Oryctolagus cuniculus: one gene and its partners. The protein of the gene in region 1 binds, or shares a complex with, the protein of each later gene. Links are inferred from orthologs where the notes say so. Each region holds a gene or a part of one and is shown on either strand. Other genes may lie near its edges.

What was found. The genes of interacting proteins can lie anywhere in the genome.
Region 2: GEMIN4 (region 1) and GEMIN2 share a complex: the UniProt entries of both Homo sapiens proteins name them as parts of the SMN-Sm complex. The link is inferred for Oryctolagus cuniculus from reciprocal best matches to the Homo sapiens genes GEMIN4 and GEMIN2.
Region 3: GEMIN4 (region 1) and STRAP share a complex: the UniProt entries of both Homo sapiens proteins name them as parts of the SMN-Sm complex. The link is inferred for Oryctolagus cuniculus from reciprocal best matches to the Homo sapiens genes GEMIN4 and STRAP.

Annotation. Positions count from the first base shown.
Region 1 is NC_091448.1:46,442,218-46,446,371, forward strand, and holds the start of GEMIN4 (gem-associated protein 4), read left to right. Parts: upstream 1-1,340; 5' UTR 1,341-1,463; coding exon 1,464-1,473; intron 1,474-2,434; exon of another isoform or gene 2,435-3,580; intron 3,581-4,154. Other genes in the region: diazepam-binding inhibitor-like 5, read right to left, coding at 308-577. UniProt on the Homo sapiens protein: The SMN complex catalyzes the assembly of small nuclear ribonucleoproteins (snRNPs), the building blocks of the spliceosome, and thereby plays an important role in the splicing of cellular pre-mRNAs.
Region 2 is NC_091443.1:36,521,819-36,525,334, forward strand, and holds part of GEMIN2 (gem-associated protein 2), read right to left. Parts: intron 2,970-3,516; coding exon 2,856-2,969; intron 1-2,855. UniProt on the Homo sapiens protein: The SMN complex catalyzes the assembly of small nuclear ribonucleoproteins (snRNPs), the building blocks of the spliceosome, and thereby plays an important role in the splicing of cellular pre-mRNAs.
Region 3 is NC_091440.1:113,725,399-113,728,914, forward strand, and holds part of STRAP (serine-threonine kinase receptor-associated protein), read left to right. Parts: intron 1-192; coding exon 193-265; intron 266-2,484; coding exon 2,485-2,581; intron 2,582-3,498; coding exon 3,499-3,516. UniProt on the Homo sapiens protein: The SMN complex catalyzes the assembly of small nuclear ribonucleoproteins (snRNPs), the building blocks of the spliceosome, and thereby plays an important role in the splicing of cellular pre-mRNAs.

The DNA of each region.
Region 1 (4,154 bases):
GAAATTAGGGGTCTAGGGCCACAGCCTCTCTAGAGACCAAGTTGCTGATCTCAGGACAGGCGTGTGCCATGAGTCTCCTCCCAGCCCTGACAAACAGCTCCCATGTTCTGGGCATGGGAGGCTGGGACGGGCACTCAGAACCATGCCGAGAGGAGAGCCAGGGGAGTGGGCTTCTCGGCCCCAAGCCCCCCTTCCACGAGCAGTCGCAGGCACGTGGTCTAAGGGGTTTATTGATGCCCAGCCGTCCCCGCCCCCCTCCAGGGCACTGGAGAAGCACACTCCCTGCCAGGGGAGCCGTGCCGCTTCCCTAGCCAGCCTCAGTTTTCTTCAGCTCTTCCACTTTGGCCACGTAGTTCCTCATGGCATCCATCTTGGACATGCCTTTATTCTTGTTCCACGCCTCCCACTTGGCCGTGGCTTTCACTTCCGACGTAGGAGGCTCGGGGATGTTGCAGTCGCCCTGGGTGGCCTGTTTATAGAGGCTGTACAGCTGCAGCTTCTCCTGATCGCTCATGGGGTTCTTCAGCTGCTTCACGGCCGCGCACGCCAACTCGAACTCTACCTGGCACATTGCCATGCCTGAGGCGCGGCCCCTCTGGCCTTCCTAGCCGGCGCAGGAGCTGCGGGGGGAAGAGTTAGAAACACGTGAGGCCAGTAACGAGGTCTTGGCTAGAAAGGAAAGGGAGACGGCACTGTGTCTGTTCAGGTGTATGGTTTTTTTGTTTGTTTGTTTGTTTTGTTTTTTGACAGGCAGAGTTAGGGAGAGACAGAGAGAAAGGTCTTCCTTCCGTTGGTTCACCCCAAATGGCCGCTATGGCCGGCGCTGCGCTGATCCGAAGGCAGGAGCCAGGTGCTTCTCCTGGTCTCCCATGGGGTGCAGGGCCCAAGCACTTGGGCCATCCTCCACTGCGCTCCCTGGCCACAGCAGAGAGCTGGCCTGGAAGAGGAACAACGGGGACTAGAACCTGGGGTACCGGCGCCGCAGGTGGAGGATTAGCCAAGTGAGCCGAGGCGCCGGCCTCAGGTGCATGTTTTTATCAGTATGGGTGAACTGTGTGCGGGACATACCCGCGCTCCTGTCCTGCGGGACGGTGACTACGAGGCCGGGGGCTCCTGCACAGCACCGACTGGGACCTAGGAAGCCAGGTGGGTGGCCCGGCGGAGCACGCGGCGGGAGAGGAAGACCCCCGGAACCTGCCTGCTGGCTGGAGGGAGGCCTCGGGCCGGGAGGGGGCGCTGTGGGCTTGGCGGCCAAGGCGCCGCGAGCTCTCTGGTGAGGAGCGCGCGTGCGCGCGCAGCGGCGGGAGTCGGCGGCGAACGGCGCGAGAGCGGCGGCAGAGGCCGTGGGCGGGGCCTGCCGCCCCCCGCGCCGCCCATTGTGCGGTGGCGCCTGCGCCGCGCTCCTGGCTTTCGAGGGGGAGGGGCGGCCTGGCGCCCCCCGCGCCACCTCCCGCTTCGCCGCCATGGACCTAGGTGGGTGCCCCGGTTACGCTGCCCCGGGCCGGCCCGCGACGCGCCGCCTCCCGCCGCGCACGCCCGGCGGGCTCGGGCTCGGGCTCCTGGGGCCCTCGTGGTCGGGAGGGGCTGAGGAGGATCCAGGGCGTCCTTAGAGCGGGAGGGCGGCGGCGAGGCCGGGCGCAGCGCTCCTGAGCCGGCCTCCTGCGCCCTCCGGTCCCGCGTCGTACGTGAGAAGCGGAGCGGCGGTAAAGCGAGGTGTCCCGGGAGCGACGGGCTTAGCGCACGTGCAGGGGGCCATGCCGGCCTCGCTAGCTGAGCGTCCGCGGAGTTGCTCAGCGAGTTGCTCACCCACTGGCGTTCCCTGCCGGATAACGTGGGTGTGACGACACCGCGCCGCCCTCGCCGAGTGGCCGGGAGTAAACTTTGGGATCGCCGGGTGCGGAGTGCCCCTGCCGCGGGGCCTGGGCGGAGGCGCGCGGCTGCGGAAGCCCTGCTTTCTTCTGATCTGGGATCCGCTGGCTCAGTGCCCAGATGCCCTGGCACTCAGTCCAGGTCTCCCACTCGGGTGCAGGCACCCAAGTGCTTGAGCCATCACCTGTTGCCTCCCCCGGTGTACATGGTCCGGAAGCCGGATAGGAAGCGGAGCCGGGATTCGAACCCGGGCACTTGGGTCTGGGACGTGGGTGTCCCACTTGGAATATGGTGCTCTTTGAACCTGCCTGCCTGTTGGTTGAGAATCCTGGCAAGGTCTGGAAAAAAGGGAGGGAGGACCTAATAGAAGTCAGTGGCTCCTGCCAAGTGTCCCCACCTGTGGGATATGCCCTTAAACTCGGGTTGAGCCCGGGAGGCAGCTTGAGAAACGCTGATAGTAGTATGGTGTGGAGCAGGGTTTGAGTCTGTCCCCCAGCCAGCTCCTCGTGGTGGTGGAATGACAGATTGGGAAGGGGCATCCCTGCAGCTGTGGCGAATTTTTTTTTTTTTTTTTTTAAGATTTATTTATTTGAGGCTGGCGCCGTGGCTCACTAGGCTAATCCTCTGCCTGTGGCGCCGGCACCCTGGGTTCTAGTCCCGGTTGGGGCGCCGGATTCTGTCCTGGTTGCCCCTCTTCCAGTCCAGCTCTTTGCAGTAGCCCGGGAAGGCAGTGGAGGATGGCCCAGGTCCTTGGGCCCTGCTCCCGCATGGGAGACCAGGAGAAGCACCTGGCTCCTGGCTTCAGATCGACGCAGCACGGCGGCCATAGCGGCCATTTTGGGGGTGAACCAACGGAAAAAGGAAGACCTTTTTCTCTCTCTCTCTCACTGTCTAACTCTGCCTGTCAAAAAAAAAAAAAATTATTTATTTGAAAGGCAGAGTTAGGGAGAAACAGAGAGAGATCGTCCATTCACTGATTCACTCCCCAAATGGCGGCAATGGCTGGGGCTGAGCTAGGCTGAAGCCGGAAGCTTCTTCCAGGTCTCCCACGTGAGTGCAGGGGCCAAAGGACTTGCCCATCTTCCGCTGCTTTCCCAGGTGCATGGTGGGGAGGGCCTCAAACCATTAAGTCACAGTGCCACTGCTTTGTGGTGGTGACACCCTGAGCAAAATACCTGAACATCAACCTCTAAAACAGGAATAGTCCTCAGAAGGTTATTTTGAAGATTAAAAGAGACCTTCCATGTGTACCAGCTAGCACGGTGCCTGGTGTGCGCGGGCACTTAGCAAACATCAGAAGTGGGCACCAGTTAACCATTAGTGATAAAACACTTGGGTTTTTCCCAGTTGCTAACTGTTCCTGGGGCTTGTTCAGGGAGCACTTGGACATTCCTGTGTCTGTTGGGGACCACGCATCTGCTCTGCTGAGCTGATAGTGCGATAAAATTACACTGAGAAGAGTCACAGGTTGGCCGGCGCCGCGGCTCACTAGGCTAATCCTCTGCCTGTGGCGCCGGCACCCCAGATTCTAGTCCAGTTGGGGCACCAGTTCTGTCCTGGTTGCTCCTCTTCCAGTCCAGCTCTCTGCTGTGGCCCAGGAGGGCAGCGGAGGATGGCCCAAGTGCTTGGGCCCTGCACCCGCATGGGAGACCAGGAGGAAGCACCTGGCTCCTGGCTTCGGATCGGCGCAGCGCGCCGAGAAGAGTCACAGGTGAGGAGCCAGCATTTTGGCGTAGCAGGCAGAGCCACTGCCTGCCACACCAGTTCATGTCCCAGCTGCTCCACTTTCAATCCAGCTCCGGACTGATGGCCTGGGAAGAGCAGTGGGAGGAGACCCAGATGAAGCTGCTGTCTTCAGCCTGGCCCGGTGCTGGCCAGAGTGTTCAGTAGGGAGCATACTTTGGGGCTGTGGGAGAGCTGTGGCTGGAGAGAAGAGCCATTGCCCCAGGCAGATCCTTGAGCTCCTCCGCTGAAGGAGGGGGTCTGCCTAGGCGCGGGGGGCCTTCCCAGCCAGGGCGCGGGGGAGTCTCCTCCCTGGGCCTTCCGCCGCCCTTGCAGGGCTGTGTGATTCAGTGTTCCCCATTCAGCATCTTCTCTGCTGGCGTCTGCCCTGTGAAATGGTGAAGAGGTGCTCTTGGGGCTTGGGGGACTGTGCAAGGGCTTGCATCTCTGGGTCCTGGGAAGGGGCGGAGTCAGTGCTGGACAGTGAGCAGTGTTTGCAGTCTGAATTTAGTTCCTGGGCCCGAAGTAACGGACCTGATAAAGACCCGTGTCCTTTCATGTTT
Region 2 (3,516 bases), on another chromosome or scaffold:
CCAGAAGTCAGGAGCTTCTTCTTTTTTTTTTTTTTTTTTTGACAGGCAGATTGGACAGTGAGAGAGACAGAGAGAAAGGTCTTCCTTTGCTGTTGGTTCACACTCCAATGGCCGCTGTGGGTGGCGCGCTGTGGCCGGCGCACCGCGCTGATCCGATGGCAGGAGCCAGGTACTTATCCTGGTCTCCCATGGGGTGCAGGGCCCAAGCACATGGGCCATCCTCCACTGCACTCCCGGGCCATAGCAGAGAGCTAGCCTGGAAGAGGGGCAACCAGGACAGAATCTGGCGCCCCGACCGGGACTAGAACCCGGTGTGCCGGCGCCACAAGGCGGAGGATTAGCCTATTGAGCCACGGCGCCGTCCCCAGGAGCTTCTTCCGGGTCTCCCATGTGGGTGCAGGGGCCCAAGGACTTGCGTCATTTTCTCCTACTTTCCCAGGCCACAGCAGAGAGCTGGATTGGAAGAAGAGCAGCTGGGACTAGAACTGACACCCTTATGGCAGGGCTTTATCCCCCTGCGCCACAGCGCCAGCCAAGTTATATTTCTATTAAAATGGAAGCTGGGCATCCAGTCATACAGAAACAAATTGTATTTCCTTTCTGTGGGATGTATGATCTTTTGCTTCTTGTTTTTGTTTGATATGTCTGTATGTGAGGTGACTCTTGGCCTTTTAAATGATTTTTGGAGCTGTTTATATTTTAAAAAATTTATGTATTTGAAAGGCAGAGTGAAAGAGAGAGGGTGAAAAACAGAGTCACATCTTCCATCCATTGGTTCACTCCTCAAATGTCCACAATGGCTGGGTTGGTCCAGGTAGAAGCCAGGAGCCTGGAACTCCATCTCGGTCGTCCACGTGGGTGGCAAAGACCTAAGTACTTGGGTTATCCTTTTCTTTCTTCCCTGGCACTCCAATAGGGAAGTGGATCCAAAGAGGAGCATTAGGGGCTGGAATTGGCACTCTGATATGGGATGCCAGCTTCCCCAGCAGCAGCAACCAGATGTACTACAACAGTGGCTCCCTGCAGTGGGTTTTATAGAAACATCTACTGGGGCCAGTGCCATGGCGCAGTAGGTTAATCTTCTGCCTGCGGCACCAGCATCCCATATGGGCACTGGTTCTAGTCCTGGCTGCTCCTCTTCCAGTCCAGCTCTCTGCTGTGGCCTGGGAAAGCAGTGGAAGATGGCCCAAGTCCTTGGGCCCCTGCACTCATATGGGAGACTGGGAAGAAGCACCTGGCTCCTGGCTTTGGATTGGCGCAGCTCCAGCCATTGCGGCCATTTGGGGAGTGAACCAACGAACGGAAGACCTCTCTCTCTCTCTGCCTCTATCTGTAACTCTGTCTTTCAAATTAATAACCAATGGATGGAAGACCTTTCTCTCTGTTTTTCCCTCTCACTGTCTATAACTCTACTTCTCAAATAAATAAATAAATAAATAAAATCTTAAACAAAAAAAAGAAACATCTACCTACTTGAGATCAGGTGAATCCTGAAGGACAAGGAGTGGGCCACGTAATTTACGACTGAAGCCATGTCAAACTTAAATGGATTCTTTTAAAAAAAAAATTATTTGAAAGGCAGAATTACAGAGAGAGGAGAGACAGAGAGATAGTCTATCTATTGGTTCACTCCCCAGAAAGCTGCAACAGCCAGGAGCCAGGAGCTGCCTATTTATTTATTTATTTATTTATTTTAAGCTTTATTTATTTAGGGGCTGGTGCTGAGGTGCAGTGGGTTAAAGCCCTGACCTGAAGCACTGACATCCCATATGGGCGCTGGTTCTAGTCCCAGCTGCTCCTCTTCCAATCCAGCTCTCTGCTATGGCCTGGGAAAGCAGCAGAAGATGGCCCAAGTTCTTGGGCCCCTGCACCCACGTGGGAGACCCAGAAGAAGCTCCTGGCTCCTGGCTTCAGATCAGCCCAGCTCCGGCTGTTGTGGCCATCTGGGGAGTGAACCAGCGGATGGAAGACCTCTCTCTCTCTCTGTCTCTGCCTCTATCTGTAACTCTGTCTTTCAAATTAATAAAATAAATATTTAAAAAATTATTTATTTGAAAGGCATGATTACAGAGAGAGAGGAAGAGACACACACAGAGAGTTATCTTCCATCTGCTGGTTCACTCCCCAAAAGATGACAATAGCCAGAGCTGGGCCTGGCCAAACCCAGGAGCCAGAAGCTTCTTTTGGGTCTCCCACTTGGGTACAGGGGCCTAGCACTAGGGCCATGTTCTGGTGATTTTCCCAGGTCATTAGCAGGGAGCTGGATCGGAAGTGAGCAAACATGAACCAGGATGCTGCGTTGCAGGTGGTAGCTTTATTTGCTATACCACAACACTGGCCCCCTAATAAATACTTTCTTAACATTTCCTCTCCAGAATAGGTAACTTACTGAAGATTTTAAAGCCATCTCTCTGATTATGTAATGTTTTCTTAAGTACTCTTAACTCAGTGTTTGACCTGTGCCTAATCATTTCCACAAATTAATTCCTATCTAACTCAAAATTCTTCTACCACTGAGACATGAGATATGAAGTCGACATACAATATGCCACAGTGAATTGTTTCAGGAACTAGTCTGCCACTCTGTAGATTATACTCAATAAAATAAATGAAAGATTGGCAATATTTCATGTAAACAGCTAGTCAGTAAATATTTTAGGCTTTGCAGGCTACATATTATTTCTCACATTTTGTATGTTACTTTTTTTACAATGCTTTAAAAACACAAAAATCGTTCTTAGTTCATGGGGTATAGACAAACAGGCTACAGACTTGATTTGGCCCAGGTTGTATTTACACTAAGTAAGGCACCAAAATTAAAATGCTATGCTTTGTTTATCTGCATTATTACCTACTTGCACATAATCAATTCCAGGGCTTTCATTTGTAGGTGGTCCAACAGCCCCTTCAGCACATAACCTTTCACCCAGACAAAATTTTTTCCAGCCTTCTTCATCTTCAGACTTTGGCTAAGAGGAAAAAAAAAGGAATTAATTTTCCTGTACTTATTCTTTATAGTGAACGTTAAAAAAAGAATCGCCCTATTCTTACCAGCTCAACACAAATATATGGGGTCAGTTATGGGCAGAAATGTGTGCCCCAAAATTCATATATTGAGGCCCTAACTTCTTTTTTTTTTTTTTTTTTTTGACAGGCAGAGTGGACAGTGAGAGAGAGAGACAGAGAGAAAGGTCTTCCTTTGCCGTTGGTTCACCCTCCAATGGCCGCTGCGGCCGGCACGCTGTGGCCGGCGCACCATGCTGATCCGATGGCAGGAGCCAGGAGTCAGGTGCTTTTCCTGGTCTCCCATGGGGTGCAGGGCCCAAGCACTTGGGCCATCCTCCACTGCACTCCCTGGCCACAGCAGAGAGCTGGCCTGGAAGAGGGGCAACCGGGACAGAATCCGGCGCCCCGACCGGGACTAGAACCCGGTGTGCCGGCGCCGCTAGGTGGAGGATTAGCCTAGTGAGCCGCGGCGCTGGCCCATGAGGCCCTAACTTCTAATATCTCAGAAGG
Region 3 (3,516 bases), on another chromosome or scaffold:
TACTGTGAAGCCTAAGGGGTTTGACAGTTAAGAGAAGGGCAACTGTTCTATAGTGTTCTCTCAGAAGTAATTGCTTGTGTGTGGCATGTCTTTGTGATGTCTGTGAGCTATAAGATTTTATTTGGTATTGAGGAAGTTTGAGAGAAACATTCTTAAATGGATCATCTGTTAACATTTTATTTGTCTTTTCAGGATAGTAATTATTTGTTAACTGGTGGACAGGATAAACTGTTACGCATATATGATTTGAACAAACCTGAAGCAGGTAAGCATAATTAATGTATGAGTTTATAGTTTTATTTCATTTTAATGTAAATAACTTTGATTAAAAGAGTACTAAAATTTGGAAGCTAGTCATAAGAAAGAAAATTAAAACATAATCCATCATCTAGTATTCAACACTTTTAATACCTTTAGCTTTGGTTTCATATCATTCCAGATTTCCTATGCAGATAATCTTTTTCTTTTTTTTTTTTAATTATTAGTTTGAAATGTAGAGTGACAGAGGGAGAAAGAGACAGAGATTTCCATCTACTGGTTCACTCCCCAAATGATCACTGAAGCCAGGAGTCCATAGCTCCGTCTCAGTGTCCCACATGCAGGGACCCAAATACTTGACCCATCTTTTGCTTTTCCAGACACAGTAGCAGGGAGCTGATTCATAAGGGGAGCAGCCCAGTTCCTGTATGATATGCTGGTGTTGAGGCCATGGCTTAATGCCTGTACCACAATGTCAGGCCTTTTATTAAAATTTGTATTAGTTTAAGATTTGTTTATTTAATTTGAAAGGCAGAATTACAGAGACAGATGGAGATAAAGAGAACTTACTGGCTTTCGAAGGTTCTTTATTGCATCCTAATTTGCCATTTGGTTTTAAATTTCATTAAGAAGGCTTTGATATATACCTAGGCATATACATTTTTAACATTTTGGTGGCAGGAGCTGTCATTTCCTCTATGAACTGTCGTCGTACAGAATTTGTAGGCATTTCTTCTTACACAGTTGAGATAGTTACCTCCATTTTTGTAGTATTGTAATGATTTCCTAGCTGTAAATACAAGTATAGTTTAAAAGCTACCGAAACATGATAAACCAAATTTTGTTTCACTTATTATGTAGTAATTACTATCTATTAGATTTCCTAAGTACCTCAAAGCTACATTGAAAAGTAAGCAGTTATTTGCCTGAGGGAACTGCTTTCTAAAAGCATTTCTAGGGTGAGGCATTTGTAGATTTCTGTATTCATTGGCACCCAGGAGTGTTGCTCTGCTTTCTTTTTACTACCTCTATGCCAAAACAAAGCAGAGTTCTCCAGCCTCTTTTAATCAGTGAAACTATGTGCTGCAGCAAGGTAGTTCAGGGTTTGGGTGGGTGTTTTTCATCCTCGTTTACCTTTCCCGAGCTTCTGTTTGAGTTGCTCTTCCACCTAGAAATGGTAGCAATTAACTGAAGTTTTGCTGTGTGACACCCATGTAAAGTGCCTCTGAGGTGCCCTAACTTTGTAGCCCAGTTTACAGATGAAGAAATGCAGTTTCAAACAGGTAACGTGCCCAAAGTCGAAGTACTATTGAATGGCATTGCTTCCAGTAGCTGCCTTTGCCTAGAGATGATGATGATTTTTTGAAATGTTTTGAAGGGAAATTCTCCTACAGAGATGGGTTCCCTTTTTTTTTTATTATTTATTTTTTATTTTTTTACTGCTTTCCTCTCAATGTAGAAGCGTTTCTGGAAATTGCTGTGCTGGTTTTTATTTCCCATTTCTCCTATCCCCAGTGTCTTTTTTCTTCTTAATTTCTACCAACAATGTCTGGATGCAGGTGACAGGGTTAATGGCAGCACTAGGATTAGCTCTGGTTTTCTTATTCCTGGGCCCATGTTCTTCAAATGGCTGCTGCGGCCGGTGTGCTGCACTGATCGAAGCCAGGAGCCAGCTGCTTCTTCCTGGTCTCCTAATGTGGGTACAGGGCCCAAGCACTTGGGCCATCCTCCACTGCCCTCCTGGGCCACAGCAGAGAGCTGGACTGGAAGAGGAGCAAACAGGGCAGAATCCGGCGCCCTGACCGGGACTAGAACCCAGGGTGCTGGCGCCATAGGCGGAGGATTAGCCTATTGAGCCGCAGCGCCGGCCCCATGTTCTTCTTAAACTATGCCACATTAGTTATTCATACTAGTTATTACTTCATTGTGGTACAGTGTGCTATTTTTTAACATTACTAGTTGTACAGAAAATTAGCCAAGAAAGAGTTATTATTGATTTACTCAAATGCAATAAGGCAGGCATCATTGTTCTTGGATTCTTTGTTGTACAGATAAATTTTTGTTCTGTAAGGAACCAGTATAGAAAAACTAAATTATTCTTTTTTGGGCTGCACTTAGAAAAGGTGCAGTCTAACATAAAATGTGTTTCTTTTTCTTATTACCTATCTAATTTGCTTGGTTTAAAAAATTCAATATTAACAATATTTAAAATTTTTTCTTCTTAAGAACCTAAGGAAATCAGTGGTCACACATCTGGTATTAAAAAGGCTTTATGGTGCAGTGAGGATAAACAGATTCTTTCAGCTGATGATAAAACTGTTCGGTAGGTAATTTTTCTTTGATAATTTGAAGTTTGAAAAAAGTTTTTACTTTTAAGTATTATTTTTACTATTATGTAGGAAAAATGGTCTGAACTTTAAAATGCGCATAGGTCACATTTATGTGGAGCTATCCATTTACTATTGCATAGCCAGAGCAGAATTCAGAAGACCCTTAATTAAGACTATTGACACCTTTACTAGCAGGAGTTCTTAATCTACGTCTGTGGGACTAGTTAGCTAAAGGGTGCGGGGGGTGGTCCATGGAGCTACTGAAATTTTATGCAAAATATTGGGTACTGACATACACATGTTTTTTGGAAAGAGAGTTGCCATGAGTCACTACAACAGTATAAGAACCACTGTTTACAGCAGTGCTGAAATAGATGATATGAGGATTTACGTGTTTTAGTGACATAGTTTTGCTAAGTTGTTTGCTAGTACGGTCGATTTCCCCAACAAGCTTCCAATTTCCCATTGTGTAGGAACCCAAAATTGTCTGTGTCTGTTATTTAGGACTTGAAATGACTGTAGCTGGTCTCCCATGGGGTGCAGGGCCCAAGCACTTGGGCCATCCTCCACTGCACTCCCTGGCCACAGCAGAGAGCTGGCCTGGAAGAGGGGCAACCGGGACAGAATCCGGCTCCCTGACCGGGACTAGAACCTGGTGTGCCAGCGCCGCTAGGCGGAGGATTAGCCTATTGAGCCGCGGCACCGGCTGTATTGTGGTTTTAATCAGTGACTTGTATTTTGAAGTAGTTTCCGAATCACAAGAGTCACAAGTGTAACTTAAAAGAGTTCACCAACACTCATTTTAACCCCATGACAATTTTGTGCATAGTCATAGTCCATTGTAAGTTTTCTTAACATGAGTAAATTAAATGAGTAAATATTGCCACATTTTGATCTTTTCTTTTCGCAGCCTTTGGGATCATGCTAC